3 linked regions of the Saccharomyces cerevisiae S288C genome follow. The protein of the gene in region 1 interacts with the protein of each later gene in a biochemical or structural test. Each region holds a gene or a part of one and is shown in the gene's direction. Other genes may lie near its edges.

What was found.
Region 2: the proteins of VAM3 (region 1) and VTI1 form a complex in vitro, tested with the Saccharomyces cerevisiae proteins (6 studies listed by BioGRID).
Region 3: the proteins of VAM3 (region 1) and SEC17 form a complex in vitro, tested with the Saccharomyces cerevisiae proteins (3 studies listed by BioGRID).

What each region holds. Positions count from the first base shown.
Region 1 is NC_001147.6:517,316-525,763, forward strand, and holds VAM3 (SNAP receptor VAM3), read left to right. Parts: upstream 1-1,805; coding exon 1,806-2,657; downstream 2,658-8,448. Other genes in the region: PIN2 (Pin2p), read left to right, coding at 327-1,175; YOR105W (uncharacterized protein), read left to right, coding at 880-1,206; GTPase-activating protein RGS2, read left to right, coding at 4,038-4,967; 2-isopropylmalate synthase LEU9, read left to right, coding at 5,712-7,526; phosphatidylinositol-3-/phosphoinositide 5-phosphatase INP53, read left to right, coding at 7,963-8,448. UniProt on the Saccharomyces cerevisiae protein: Required for vacuolar assembly. Provides the t-SNARE function in a late step of the vacuolar assembly. Required for homotypic vacuole membrane fusion, autophagy and fusion of biosynthetic transport vesicles with the vacuole.
Region 2 is NC_001145.3:658,045-661,445, reverse strand, and holds VTI1 (v-SNARE protein VTI1), read left to right. Parts: upstream 1-2,247; coding exon 2,248-2,901; downstream 2,902-3,401. Other genes in the region: CIK1 (Cik1p), read right to left, coding at 1-1,701; YMR196W (uncharacterized protein), read right to left, coding at 3,104-3,401. UniProt on the Saccharomyces cerevisiae protein: t-SNARE found in various SNARE complexes involved in multiple transport pathways. The composition of the t-SNARE complexes is specific for a limited number of v-SNAREs and therefore allows only the vesicles carrying the matching v-SNARE to fuse.
Region 3 is NC_001134.8:122,747-126,619, forward strand, and holds SEC17 (alpha-soluble NSF attachment protein SEC17), read left to right. Parts: upstream 1-2,378; coding exon 2,379-2,408; intron 2,409-2,524; coding exon 2,525-3,373; downstream 3,374-3,873. Other genes in the region: PIN4 (Pin4p), read right to left, coding at 7-2,013. UniProt on the Saccharomyces cerevisiae protein: SNARE complex protein that binds to cis-SNARE complexes on membranes and is required for vesicular transport between the endoplasmic reticulum and the Golgi apparatus and for homotypic vacuole fusion.

The sequences.
Region 1 (8,448 bases):
TTTTATGCTTATTTTTCGTTGTAGGAAAATGCCTCTTCTCTTATAACCAAATGGGGAAAAATATAAATGATGCATCTCGAAAAAGCTTCAAGATCTACTGGAACCGCAACTTCTACTCTAGAACTGGATAAAAGCCTAGAAGAACTTCAAAATTAAAGGGGCGCAAGAAAGTTTCAAATATATTACATATTTGCTACTTAGATCAAGAATAACCACCCCCGGTCGTGACTTTTTAGATTTTTTTTATCTTGTTTATTTTTAGCAAAATAACCGTTTCAAGAAAATACTAGAAATATAATCAAAGACTCCCAAGCGTATACACAGTAATGAACGTTTGCAAGTTGAAAGAAATAGTACCACTATTTCCGAGATCGTCCTTTACAGATGGTGTAGTAAGTACAGGAAAAAGTTTCCGAAGCTGGGACACCTGCATGGACAATAAAGCATGTAAAATTATTGCGATTGTTGGTATTGTTTTGGCCTGTATTCTTGTGATTTGGTTGATTGGGGGCTTACTGACATGTTTCAGGCAAGGGGTAACAGGAATAGGTCAGTTCATTTGTTGGTGTTGTCGTTGTTCTAATGACAGAAATGGAAACAATACAATGCCGGTAAATGAGGGTTTTAGTAGAGTTAATATGGGCGTGGCTCCTCCTTCTACTGTGATTTATCAGCCTATTCAACAACCTGAAAGTGCGTATTATAGAAACGATGCGAAGAATGATACATTTTACGACGAAGTCAAAACTCCCAGTAATGAGGTGTATGAATTAGAGGAAGATTTCGATTTGGAAAAACAAAAAGAGAAAACAAGGAAAAAACAACAGAAGGAAAGAAATAAAGAAGGACGCAGCCCTAGTAGGGTGGCCCCTCTAGTGTATGAAGAAGAAAATTTCGAAGGTAGCAGCCCTCAGCCGCAATATGATGCTAGAAATTCGTTTATCCAAAATGCGGCCAATACTGGTAGCAACAACGCTCATGTTGCTTCACAATCTCCAATTTTTGACATCAGCGATTATGGCGAGAACTATTATTACGATAATAATAACATCAATAATAACCTCCAGGGAAACAGTTACAATACTCCCTCCTCTAATCATAGAAGTCCATATCCAACCGAAAATTATCAATCATATCAGGGATATAAACCAAACCAAAGCGATAGATATTACTAATGAGGTAAATATATATTCCCCCTTCTTTTGAATAATCAGTCAGACATTTTAAGATCAAGAGGATTCATTGGTAGATTTTGCAAGAACCAATTAGGAATTTCTTCAGGAATAACTGTGAGCTTGCGTTTACGGAAAGGAAAGTAAAAAAAAATCTTCCAACGAGTTTTTCCTTGTACCGGTTGCTAAAAAGGTGCCTTCTAACAGGTAACACCAGAAACCGCAACTTTTAAAATGCAAATAAGGGCAGTCAATGGTGAACTTCCTCTTGGTCAGTTAGTATGTACAATAAATTAGGTTGTTTTCCTCAGGATAAAAGTGATCTATTTGTAACATATAGTTTACCTAGGTGCTGACGAGGACACAGGAAGAGCAAAACTAAGATCATACAAGTCAATACTTATTATAATCAAATGATAATATTCGTTCAGCCTCATATTCGAGTTTCACATCACAACTTTTTTTTTCGCGAGATGCGCAGTAAAAACTCTATATACATTTTTGTAGTGAATTTTGATTTTGATGTAAAGAAAGCAGCCAGGAGATTAAAGGAAGGAAAATAGAACAATAAAAAACCACGGGATCAGCATTAACAAATTGGCCAACTAATATCCACTGCAGAAAGTTGAGATTATGTCCTTTTTCGACATCGAAGCACAATCTTCAAAGGGTAACTCCCAGCAAGAACCACAATTCTCAACAAATCAAAAAACGAAGGAATTAAGCAATTTAATTGAGACATTCGCTGAACAATCCCGCGTGCTGGAAAAGGAATGCACCAAAATTGGTTCCAAACGGGACTCCAAAGAACTAAGATACAAAATTGAAACAGAGTTAATACCGAACTGCACCAGTGTAAGGGATAAAATTGAGAGCAACATCCTCATTCACCAAAATGGAAAGTTGTCTGCTGATTTCAAGAACCTGAAAACGAAGTATCAATCCCTACAACAATCATACAATCAAAGGAAGAGTCTGTTCCCTCTAAAAACGCCTATTTCACCAGGAACATCTAAGGAAAGAAAAGACATCCATCCGCGAACTGAAGCCGTGCGACAAGATCCAGAGTCTAGTTATATTTCTATAAAAGTAAACGAGCAGAGTCCTTTACTGCATAACGAAGGACAACACCAATTACAGCTGCAAGAAGAACAAGAACAACAACAGCAAGGATTGTCCCAAGAAGAACTAGATTTTCAAACAATCATTCACCAGGAAAGATCCCAACAGATAGGACGCATTCATACGGCGGTACAAGAAGTCAATGCTATTTTCCATCAGCTCGGTTCATTAGTGAAAGAACAGGGAGAACAAGTAACCACCATAGACGAGAATATCTCGCATTTACATGATAACATGCAGAATGCAAACAAACAATTAACCAGAGCAGACCAGCATCAGAGGGACCGTAACAAATGCGGTAAGGTCACCCTAATCATTATAATAGTTGTGTGCATGGTGGTATTGCTTGCTGTATTAAGTTAGTAATCTCCTTAAACGCGCATTGAGCACAGACTTTCTGGTAGACCCAATCTTATCTATTTACGAAAACAAGAGTGTATAAGAGTGTATAAGTTATTTTTTGCATTTATTCTTTTGTGGTAGGGGGGTTTCTTAGCCGCTCTTTTTGACTCAAAATTTCCTTTGATGTCTAGTGATAGTGCACTTCCCATGTGCGCAACCTGTGTTTTTTGTACTCCGTAGTTTAAATGCAAGGGCTCGATATGCCCTTTTTCCTTTTTCTACTTTGTACGATCTACACTGACCTTTTTTCAGTAGTCCGTAAATCCCCACGAATTTCTACTAGCGACTGCCAATAAAAAAAGGATTGTGCTACTGTATGTAAAAAGTAAGAACCCTGTTATTTTCCGTTAACTGTCATTTGCCTTACTGTTGCTTAACGGCCGCCAACCGTTATCAAGAAACAAAACATTGTATGCGTTGTCTTCTAAATGAACCTTGTGGGCCCTGATAAACATAAGAACGTGTCTGGCTCGGAAGTATTTATCTTATTTCAATTTTCGCTTTTGCAGAACATCCTTGCCTGTCACTAAGATAAGGACAGAGCGTGGATTAATAAAAATGGCAGAATTTCTCGGCAAAAAAAGAAATCATGCATAATTACCTCGATGTGTACGTTATTGCGGGCACGATCCTGTCGCTACGGCCTGATAGTAGCGGCTATTCTGCTGGCGAAAATTTTCAGCAGTTTGAAATCTTACTGTGGCGTCCCGGTCCAGCCGAGATGACATCTAACTAAGAAATGTCCGCTGCGGCACACCCACGCCGTTGCAGCTAAAGTCGCGCACCAAGCACAGACCTGCTGGAGAATGAGGAACAAGGTTGCGTTAAATGCTTCGGGAAGAACTGCCGAACCGAACCGCTAGAAAAGTGCGCAGGTACCCCGATCGAAGCGGCTCGGCGCTCATTTTAGCACAATCAGAAAAAGGAAATTGAAAGAAGAAAAAAAAAACATAATCATTAACAATTCTTTTCTTGAGATATACGTATATATGACGTCGTCATGTAGTATCTCTTTCGGGATACCCTTTGTAAACGTCCCTTTGTGGAGATGAAAAAAAAACTTGCTGAATAAAGATAGTTAAGGCGCTAGTAATCAAATTAATAACATATTATACCACATCACATCTATACCATTTCCGTTGCACATTGCTTGAACCAGTTGCCAAAATTGACTAAACGGATTTTTACAAAGTCAACGGTGATCACTAAAAGCAAACAACTCAAGCGACGAGGCAAGGAAAGAGAAGAAAAAAAAAATATTACATTGGCTATATAAATATCAAAACATCTTAGGTAAGGCACCTTTGATACATAAAACGAAGAAAATTCAGCACATGCCAGATGGCGAGTGTACCAAGTCTATGCGACATACTGATACCGCTAGAAAAGAATAGTCGCAGCGACGGCGATGCTGAAAGTAGCAATACAGTGCTGATTCAACTGCGAAAAGGGCATCACGAACGGATGCGTTCTCCTTACACAATACAAAAGTTTTACAAATTTCTAAAAAGAGCTCATTGTGAGGAAAATTTAGAATTTTTCGAAAAAGCTCATCAGTTCCTCCAGCTTAAGCAAAACAGGAGTATTAGCGAGGAGAAGCTCTTGGAAGTTTGGAACAAGTCGTTGTACATAAAATACATTGCCGTGGACTCCCCCAAAGAATGCAACTTTTCACAGGATACTAGGGAGATATTTGAGAAGTGCTTTGCTAACAATGAAGTACCTGCCGACGTAGACGTCCTGTGTGCCATTAGCCATGTGATGGGCCTATTAATGGACGGGTATCACCGATTTGTGAGTTCTGTTAATGAGAAAAAGTACTCCGCCACATATGCCCACAATGACTCTGCTACGGAACAAGATCTCAAAAACGAGTCTACAACTTCTTTTTCGTCATTAGGCGTGGAGGATATTTCTGAAGATAGAAATTCGTATCTTAAGAAGCCTGATATCAATGGTTTGTCAACTATCATTCAAGAAACGTCTGCAAACACGACCAATGAGTCGCAATGCAGCGATCGCACTTCTCGGCCAAGCGAGTCCTCTTCCTCACTCAACACTACCAGCTCGACCTACAAGAATACCAGCACTAGAAATCTGCAAAAACCGCAAAATACAGGAATTCTCAACTCGGGGAAAGGTTTATTGCAAAAACTTAACTTTGTTAAAAAACGGAAATCTTTCAAACAGCCTTCAGGCGTCATTTGTAGCCATTATAACAGCAATGTTCAAAACCGTTTGAAAGGACAAAACAGTCATCAACAAAGATAGCCTCTTCATCATCTGTGGAGACACAAATATCTTCATCCTCATCGCCATTACCCAATAAAGCGATCGGTAAAAATGAAAAAAGCGTTGAAAACGGCTTTAAAAAGCTAAATTTGCATGATATCAGTTAATCAAGATTAGAACTTTGATTAAGTAGAACAACGATAGAAAATCCGCTTTTCTGGCTAGTTCCCTCGTTTCATATTAATTCATTTCACACAATTTACTTCATTTCATCACGCTCATATTGTTTGTAACTTTAGTTTTTATTTAATTTTACGTACATGACACTGCATATAATTATTTCACAGGCATTTAAAATAAGAGCATTGGGCACAGTCTTCTTTTATATGTTGTCATATTCAAACACTAAACATTTATCTGTATAGTAATTAATGTTAGCTCTTCCTTCTGCATGGCGCTTGTTATATACTTCATTCGTCTATTTTGGTGCCGCGCGCCATCATGGTCCGGTAACGGTCGTAGTGAATGACTCATATTTTTCCATCTCTTTCGGCCTTGCCAAAAAATGAAAAAAAAAAAAAAAAAAAAAAAAAAAATTAAAAACGATGTCCAGAATCACAACTACAACATAGTTTTGCCTCTTACTGGCTTGATTGGAAGTTAGCTGTTAAATTTCAATAATGCCTTACTTTACTCCACGAAATCACAATCCTTGTTTTCGGCTTATAAGGGTCTTCTCCTTAGGATAATACTATCGGCACATTATCATTTAGCCGCGTAGCCATGGTAAAACATTCGTTCATAGCGCTAGCTGAGCATGCTAGTAAACTAAGAAGGTCTATCCCACCCGTCAAACTGACTTATAAAAATATGCTACGGGACCCATCGGTAAAATATAGGGCGTTTGCTCCACCAAAAATGGTCAAGAGGATTTGGCCTGACAAAACTATTCAAAAGGCTCCACGTTGGCTGTCTACTGACTTGAGGGACGGTAATCAATCTTTACCGGACCCAATGTCTGTGGCTCAAAAGAAAGAATATTTCCACAAGTTGATCAACATCGGTTTCAAAGAAATCGAAGTGTCTTTCCCCTCTGCATCTCAAACAGATTTCGACTTCACCAGGTATGCTGTAGAAAACGCTCCAGATGATGTTGGTATTCAATGTCTTGTCCAATCTAGAGAACACTTGATTAAAAGAACCGTGGAAGCATTGACTGGTGCTAAAAGGGCTACCATACATACTTACTTGGCCACAAGTGACATGTTCCGAGAAATTGTCTTCAATATGTCTAGAGAGGAAGCTATTTCTAAAGCTGTAGAAGCCACCAAACTGGTTAGGAAACTAACCAAGGATGACCCTTCCCAGCAAGCTACTCGTTGGTCCTATGAGTTTTCTCCCGAATGTTTCAGTGATACGCCAGGTGAATTTGCTGTAGAAATTTGTGAAGCTGTTAAAAAGGCTTGGGAACCTACCGAGGAAAATCCGATCATTTTCAACTTACCAGCTACTGTAGAAGTTGCCTCTCCAAATGTTTACGCTGATCAAATTGAGTACTTCTCTACCCACATTACTGAGCGTGAGAAGGTCTGTATTTCTACGCATTGTCACAATGACCGTGGTTGCGGTGTCGCCGCCACAGAATTAGGTATGCTTGCAGGCGCTGATCGTGTAGAAGGTTGTCTATTTGGTAATGGTGAACGTACAGGTAATGTTGATTTGGTTACAGTTGCCATGAATATGTATACCCAAGGTGTTTCTCCTAATTTAGATTTCTCAGATTTAACTTCAATTTCTGAAATTGTCCATCGCTGTAACAAGATTCCAATTCCCCCAAGAGCCCCATATGGCGGTGAATTGGTTGTTTCTGCCTTTTCTGGTTCTCATCAGGATGCAATTAAGAAGGGATTTGCAATCCAAAACAAGAAACAGGCTCAAGGAGAAACTCGGTGGAGAATTCCATACTTACCATTGGATCCAAAGGATATTGGACGTGATTACGAAGCCGTCATCAGAGTCAACTCTCAATCCGGTAAGGGTGGTGCTGCTTGGGTTATTATGAGATCTCTAGGATTAGATGTACCAAGACCAATGCAAGTTGATTTCTCCAATACTCTACAGAAAAATGCAGATGCCTTAGGAAGAGAGTTAAAATCCGAAGAGATTACAAAATTGTTCAAAGAAACTTACAACTACAACAACAATGAACATATATACGTCACCTTGTTGAATTACGAAGTTAAGAAATTGAACCCAGAGCGTAGAGCTTTAGTGGGCCAGGTAGAAATCAACGATAAGGTTGTCAACATCGAAGGCTACGGAAATGGTCCTATCTCTTCTTTGGTGGATGCGCTATCCAATTTACTGAATGTTAAGTTGAGCGTTCAAAACTACTCTGAACATTCCTTGGGTTCTGGTTCTGCAACCCAAGCGGCATCTTTCATAAATCTTTCCTACATAAAGGACATCAATAATCATGCTACTAGTAATATGTGGGGTGTTGGTGTCTCCGAAGACACTGGGGATGCATCTATTAAGGCGGTATTTGCTACTGTCAATAATATTATTCATTCCGGGGATGTTCTACTGGCAGAGTAATAGAAAGGAGTAGCTTATGATTACTCATGTTATATATATATGTATTTTTATTTATAAATGGCACAGAAAAGTAACTTATTTCACGTTAAAAAGACATCTTTCAGCGAAGTTTCCAAACACTTCTTCGATGTCTGTGTGGAAAGTTTCTTTCGTTTATAGTTTTATTATTTTTTTTTGCTTTTTTTCCCATGGTACCATTTCCTTTCGTGAAACATTTTACCCAGGCCCACCCACCGCATAATCTTAACTGAATCCGAATAGGGATTTTTCGAGCACTACTGCAACTGTTGAGTGAGCTAGGAGTAGTGTAATTTGAGACTTTGTGAAGGGAGAACAGTCAATATCCAATATCATATTAAGAAAGCTAGCAGTACCTTAAGAGGAAGAAAGAAAATAACTGGGGCGAAGAATATCTAGTTATCCACTCCTTCATAGAATGATTATCTTTGTTTCAGAAGAACCTGAAAGGAGGCTAGCCATTGTATCCAACTTGTATGCTCTTGTTCTTAAACCGGTTGGGAAAAAGCCATCTGATAAACCCCTTTGTGCCATTGAACTTCTTCAAAAAAATGATTTGAAAAAATATGGCTTCAAAAGACTTACATCACACGAAATTTTTGGTGTTATCGGACTCATTGAGGTTAATGGCCTGCTGTTTGTTGGTGCCATCACTGGGAAATCAAAAGTTGCACAGCCATGCCCAGGAGAGACTGTGAACAAAATTTTTGCTGTCGATTTTTTTTGTTTAAATGACAACAGTTGGGATTTTATTGAAATCGACTCCTCAGGTTATCCTGTGTTGCCGGAGACTGCTTCAACTGAATATCAAGACGCCTTGCCAAAACATCCATGCTATGAATTGAAGAAACTATTATCCAATGGATCTTTTTATTATAGTTCAGATTTTGATTTGACCTCAACC
Region 2 (3,401 bases), on another chromosome or scaffold:
CTTGAAGACAAAGCACTGCTTTGTTTTAGTGAGAATATGCGAAAGGACTGAGGGAGCATCATCAAGCTCTCTATTCAGCTGTACCGTGGACATACTACCGATATATATATTCATTGAATGGGACTCTTCATCTTTTCCCAACTTGGTATCTAAAGTTAAAATGTTCATGCATTCTTCATCTTGTGACAGATCTCTAATTTCTGTTGGGTTATCTAATCCAACGTCACTGTGTTTAATACTTCCGTCAAGATGCAAAATGTTCAATGTCATCTTATAATTCTCACCGTACTGCTCAATTAACTGTTTTAGCAAAGTCTTTTTCATTGGTGCTGTGGGTTGCTGCGAAACCACTATAATGCTGCAGTTAATTAACTTGCTGATGTATTTTTCCAGGAACGGAATGCATTCGTTATATAAGCGTTTGTGATCCTTATGGATTTCTTCGAGAACTACTCTATCAAATACTTGTACCCGTTTTTCTCCACTATTCTCGCAAATGCACCGATCCACATAGTTGATATGGAATTCATCAGGCATTTGTCGTTCATTGGCATACGCAAAGCATCGGGTGTATCCTTTGATTTCTTCAATTGAAGTGGCCAGATTTTGTCGTGTGTATAATTCCTGTTGAACCTTTTCTAGTTCATTAACGTACTTCTTCTTCCAATTGTTTGCTTCTCCTTCGACTTGCTTCTTCTCCTCCTGCACTTGCGTCAATGCTTGTGATGTAGAAGCAAGCTTCTTTTTGAGAGGAACAACGGCAAGTTCCATGCTATGGAAGTTCACTTCTGCCTCTCCAATCCTTTTTTCAAAATCGTTAAACTCATCTCTACACGTCTTAATATTTTCTTTCAGTTCACCATGGGTGTCTTGTAGGTCTTTTAAAACTTTCGAAAGTCTTTCTTGCTCCCCATCTAATTCAATTCTAGCATCGTTCTTAACTTTCTTGAATATCTCGAATTTCTTGTCCAATTCTTTTTTGTAGTTTTTACACTCGTTCTCATTTTCATTCTGTAGAATGAATAGTTTCCTATTGACCTCCTCGAATTCTGTTTTAAGCTGTCGCATTTCGTCAGTTAACCTTTCGTCAGGTTTCAAATTTTCTACTTCCATTAATTTATACGTCCACTCCCTTTTGGCATTCGATAGCTCTTCCTCTAAATCGTTTTCGAACTCTTGTACTTTTACTGCATGCATAGACACTATATTTTTTGATGATAGCTCAACATTCTTTCTTTGAAGATCACATTGATTATCCTTCAAGTCCATCTCCGTTGATAGTCCATCAATCTCATTTTGTAGCTCCCTGCACGCTTTGACTTTTGCATCTAATTCTAATGTTATTGCAGGTAGTTCCCTGGCATGAATACGAACAGATTCCTTTTCAATTTCAGAAATAGCATTCAGTAGTGAATCTATGTCTTTTCTAACCTTACGTTCATTGTTCTTAACCCTTTCAATAATCTTGGGGTCCCCCCCAAAGGTTAGTTTCTTAGTATACGTAGCGGAGGTGTCATCAGTGTAGCAGCGCCGTATACCAGATCCAGAGCTGTGCAATATATTTAGCTTGTTGTTATTAGGAGTTAGTATCATATCCATTTCTCTTTTCTGAACCTTCTGTCGTTTTGTCTTTGGAAAGTCTCGAGTGACGTTGTTTGGATCACTATGAAAGGAAAGTTTAGGAATTTTGGAGTTATTCATCCTAATAATAAAGCTTATGTCAACGAGTTTCAAATGCCAAAACAAATATTAAAATAGTGAATAGCTCTTATATATACACGGTCCAACCCTATGGCACAAAATTCACTTATTTAGGCGCTTAATTATAATGTCGTAGTTGTGTTTCAAAGTTGCTTCAGCCAAACGGAAAAGCCGCCTAAATGTGTCGATCAGTGAATGAGCTCAATAACGTGTGGATATCAAAAAATAATACAGTAAAGCCTTATTCTCGGACGATATGCTCAATGGTCAACGACTGACTAGTTTTATTTTGATACGAGCTACGACAGTGGTATCTTTCATATACTAGAATCATATTAGAGAGTAAATAAGAACAAAAATGGTAAACAAACAAATATCACTATGGACGATATTACTGATCACATGACTGTCTAATTTTCAATGAAAGTTAGGAGTGGAGTAGTCGTGCTATATAGGGCAATTACTATTCTTGGAAAAGTGTAAAGCTTTACATTAAGTTGTATAAAACGAATCAACCGCACTCTTTACATTGCTGCATGGCTTACTATGAGTTCCCTATTAATATCATACGAATCTGACTTCAAAACAACCTTAGAACAAGCCAAAGCGAGCTTAGCAGAGGCCCCCTCACAACCGTTATCACAGAGAAATACTACACTGAAGCACGTAGAACAGCAACAAGATGAGTTGTTTGACCTGCTAGATCAGATGGATGTAGAAGTTAATAACAGCATAGGCGATGCCTCAGAACGTGCTACGTACAAGGCGAAGTTAAGAGAATGGAAGAAGACTATACAGAGCGATATCAAACGACCACTGCAATCCTTAGTAGACTCAGGCGATCGTGATAGACTTTTTGGAGATCTTAACGCATCTAATATTGACGATGACCAAAGGCAACAGTTGTTGAGCAACCATGCAATCTTACAGAAATCGGGAGATAGACTAAAAGATGCCAGTAGAATAGCAAATGAAACTGAAGGAATAGGGTCACAAATAATGATGGATTTAAGGTCACAGAGAGAAACTTTGGAAAATGCAAGACAGACCTTGTTTCAAGCGGATTCATATGTGGATAAAAGTATAAAGACACTAAAAACAATGACTAGAAGGCTAGTTGCTAATAAATTCATAAGCTATGCCATTATCGCAGTCCTTATATTATTGATTTTGCTAGTTTTGTTCTCAAAGTTTAAATAAGGTGGGAAAACAAATTCAATAAAAAACCTCTAGAATCTAAAGAACATGTCAAGGAACTATAGAGTTACCTTCACTAGTAATATCAACGCTACCTTACTGATAAAAAACTACTGCAATTAAATATTCTATAGATCAAAATATAGAGGTATATCGTTGGAAATATTTTTCAAACGTACAGATATTGAAGGTTCACCGCAGTTAATCAAGACACATCCTTATTCAACGGACTCATTGGGTCCATTGGGTCTATATCCTCATCTTTAGCCTTGTCAGTTACTTTCATATTTTTCACCTTATCTTTTAGCTTGCCTATAAGCTTGGTTTCAAAGTTGTGACGATCTTCAGGTACCACAGTTTCGTGAATACCTTCCTCTTCATTCATTTCCTCCATCAAATGTCTAGCCTTGTCACTTGAAATGCTGCTTTGTGGTGTCAACCCAGAATGGGTGCCCCCTATCCTATGATGGCGCTTTTCTTCTTCGGTTAAGTCCAAAATGGTG
Region 3 (3,873 bases), on another chromosome or scaffold:
TATATATTACCATAGATTCTTCTTGTTTTGGTTTTGTAAATCCAGTCCGCTTAAAGAACGATTCAAGCCCTGTTCCAAGCCATCATCTAGTCCAGAGTGACTCAAAGATTTATAGATCAAGTCGGCACTATTCAAATTGTGTGCGGACAACATGGACTCATCGTGATAAGACTGATATGAGAAATTAGAATGTACTGAGCCATTTGTGTGCTGTGGAAGCAGTTGGGACTGTGAGTTTGCTGAAGATGGGCCGTTAAGGTTGTACAACTGCTGGGAAGACAATGAAGCATTTTGGTATGCCACTGGTACCCGTTGTTGAGTTTGGGACTGTGCTGGTGGTTGCGCTTGGGATAGGGTTTGGCTGTTGATTGGGATTTGTGAATTTGGAGGTGAAATTTGAGAATTTCTCAGTAAGGGATTAACGGAATTGATTTGATAATGGTTGGCAGAATAACCGGATGGAATTCTTGAGGATGGTGTTAAAGTAGCTTGTTGTCTTAAAAAAGATTGTTGTTGTTGCGCAGCTGACTGAACATTTTGCTGTGTTTGTGGTTGAGGTTGTTGCGGTTGGTCTGCGGAATTGTATTGAGAACTATGGTGTATGTTCATTTTAGGTGAGGTTAGTGTTGGTTGCATGGAGAATTGTCCCTGTGAAGAAATTTTTGGTGTTGAGCTGGCGCTATTGTTATTAATGATGACATTGTTACCGTTACCGTTATTACTGTTAATAGTATTGCTGTTGGAAGAATTGTTAACGGCCTGATTGCTAATACTATTCGCTGCAGCTGCTGCATGGGCCTGTAACAAACTTGTATAAGATTGTGACCTATTCATGGAGCCGCCAGTGGAGTTTGGCTGCAAAGGATGAGCAGATGTCATTTGACCTTGTTGTTGCAAATGAGATTGTAAATTAGCATGATCCAGAATCTTTCTTCTGATAATAATAAATCTTGGATCATATACTTCTACTAGCCCTAAGTACGAGCACAAAACATTGATAATTCTCTTGTGGGAAGCGGATATACCCATGGGATAAGCCAACTCGTAATAATACTTTTCTCTATCCTTAAATAACAATAATTGGGAATAAATTTCCAAAGTGTCAGGGTCATTGAAGTCCAGTTGTTGGGGTGGGAGAGGCAAAGTGGAAGTTGATGGTAAAGGCGCATAAAATCTCTCAGTGGACATCTGGGCTTGATTATTAACGTTTGTTTGGTACAACGATGAAGAAGTATGTTGGGCAGAAAGTGAAGGTTGGTTCAGAATGATGTTACCACTATTGTTGTTATTAGAACTGTTATTGTTAATGGTATTATTCATTGGACTGTTCATCATGCTATTAGCATTAATGCCGTTCATTAGAGTCGAGAATAATTGATTGTTAGAAGTATTATTGTTTCCGCTTCCACTCATTTTAGATAAAGAATCCAAAGAAAGATTAGATGACGATCTGTGTTGTTCTTCTAATTGTCCTCTTTTCTCTCTCTTCTCCCTCTCGATTCTTTCTCTTTCAGCTTGGGGAAGCATTTTTTTATATTCCACTTTCAATTTCCTCCCGCTGATTTCCTTTCCATTCAAAGAAGTTATCACTTGAGTAGTTTCTTCAGGAGTGGTGAAATTCGCAAAGGCTAGTCCTCTGAAAATACCGTTATCAAAGTGGTAATTGAAGGCATAAGGAAGGGGAAGATCCATTTCTTCAATAATGTCTAACAATTGCTCTTTTTTAATAGCAAACGGAATGTTTTTAATAACAATAGCATTTGGGATAACATCATCGTCCAAAGCACCATTGGTGGGGGCATTATTCAAATTTGTAGAAGAAACGTTTTGTTCGGCATTTTTTGCAGAGTTCTCACCAGTTTCCGTTTGCACACCGTTTTCTTTGTCAATTGCATCTCTAGTTTCGATAGATTGCTGATTTGTTTCCTGGTCATTAGTCTCCGTATTTATATTATTATCCTGAGCATCATTGATGGCTGCAGGAGGAGCATTCTCAAAAGAACTGGTCTCCATTTCTTATTGTTGTTGAACACGCTTTCCCTAGTCTGTAGCCTGCCTCTATGAGTACTATATCACACTTCTTCTTGCGCTAATCTCCAAAGACCTGCTGGTAATCTCAGCTGAAAGGCTGCCTTTAATTGTTATTCTTTTCCAGGAAAAAATCGCAAAGTTGCAGCATCCGTGTTTCGTGACATCATTGAAGGTTACCCTAATCTATTACCTCGGATTAACTTGAATTAATAAGGACACACAGGTATAGGGAAGGTAAAGTTGAAGTAATGATAAGAAGTGGGCAGCACCGAAGCAGTTTATCTGAACTAACTTCTGTACGACTCGAGAATATAGTAAGAACACCATCATTAACCTGAAAGTTAAAAATGTCAGACCCTGTAGAGTTATTGAAAAGAGTATGTAGTAGGGAAATATATCAAAGGAACAAAATGAAAGCTATGTGATTCCGTAATTTACGAAGGCAAATTACTAACATTGAAATACGGGAATTGATATTTCCCGTTGTGTTAAGGCTGAGAAGAAGGGTGTTCCTTCATCGGGTTTCATGAAATTGTTTAGCGGTTCTGATTCATACAAGTTTGAGGAGGCTGCTGATCTTTGTGTCCAAGCAGCCACCATTTACCGTCTAAGAAAAGAGTTAAACTTGGCAGGAGACTCGTTTTTGAAAGCTGCTGACTATCAGAAAAAGGCTGGTAATGAAGACGAAGCAGGAAATACCTACGTAGAGGCTTATAAATGCTTTAAAAGCGGTGGAAACTCTGTGAACGCCGTGGATTCATTAGAAAATGCTATTCAAATTTTTACTCATAGGGGGCAGTTCCGGAGAGGTGCTAATTTCAAGTTTGAGCTTGGAGAAATTCTAGAAAATGATTTGCATGACTATGCAAAAGCTATAGATTGCTATGAGCTCGCTGGTGAGTGGTATGCCCAAGACCAGTCGGTAGCATTATCGAATAAGTGTTTTATCAAATGCGCAGATCTAAAGGCTCTTGACGGTCAATATATTGAAGCAAGTGATATATATTCGAAGTTGATCAAGAGCAGCATGGGCAATAGATTGAGCCAATGGAGTTTGAAGGATTACTTCCTAAAAAAAGGGCTTTGTCAGCTAGCTGCTACTGATGCAGTCGCTGCTGCAAGAACTTTACAAGAGGGTCAAAGTGAAGATCCGAATTTTGCGGATTCAAGGGAGTCAAATTTCTTGAAAAGTTTAATCGATGCTGTTAATGAAGGTGATAGCGAGCAGCTAAGCGAACACTGTAAGGAGTTTGACAATTTTATGAGACTAGATAAATGGAAAATTACCATTTTGAATAAAATTAAGGAGTCCATCCAGCAACAAGAAGATGATTTGTTATGAACGGCATATACTTACGCGCACATACATATATACATATATATTATAAATGTAACACTTGTTTTACCCGAAACGGCGAAGTAATTGTGTACCGCCGTGCACCTTTTCCTCGAGATAAACATATAGCGATGACTTAGAGAACAAAGTAGTATTAGTATCATATACTTCCAACGTTAATCAAGCGCAATAAACCTTTGTTCGTGTGTTTCAAAGTTATTGCAAGAGCGAAGTTGAAGCCATCTTTTCACGAGAAGTTAGCTGTGGTTCGAGTCTGTCGCACGCCGTGTAATGTAAGGATCTTCCCTTAGCTTTTCTGATCCGGAGCCCTTGAGGGATATTACGCATCGCGTATCTTCATACGATTACTGTACTTTGCTGACTTGCATTCTTGATATTGGGCTATAGTTGGCACTTCGCTCGTTTCTTTTCTTTCGTTATATAACGTAACCTTTTTTTTTTTAACTTCCTTATCCTGCCCCTTATCACTCTGAACCCCATAGATA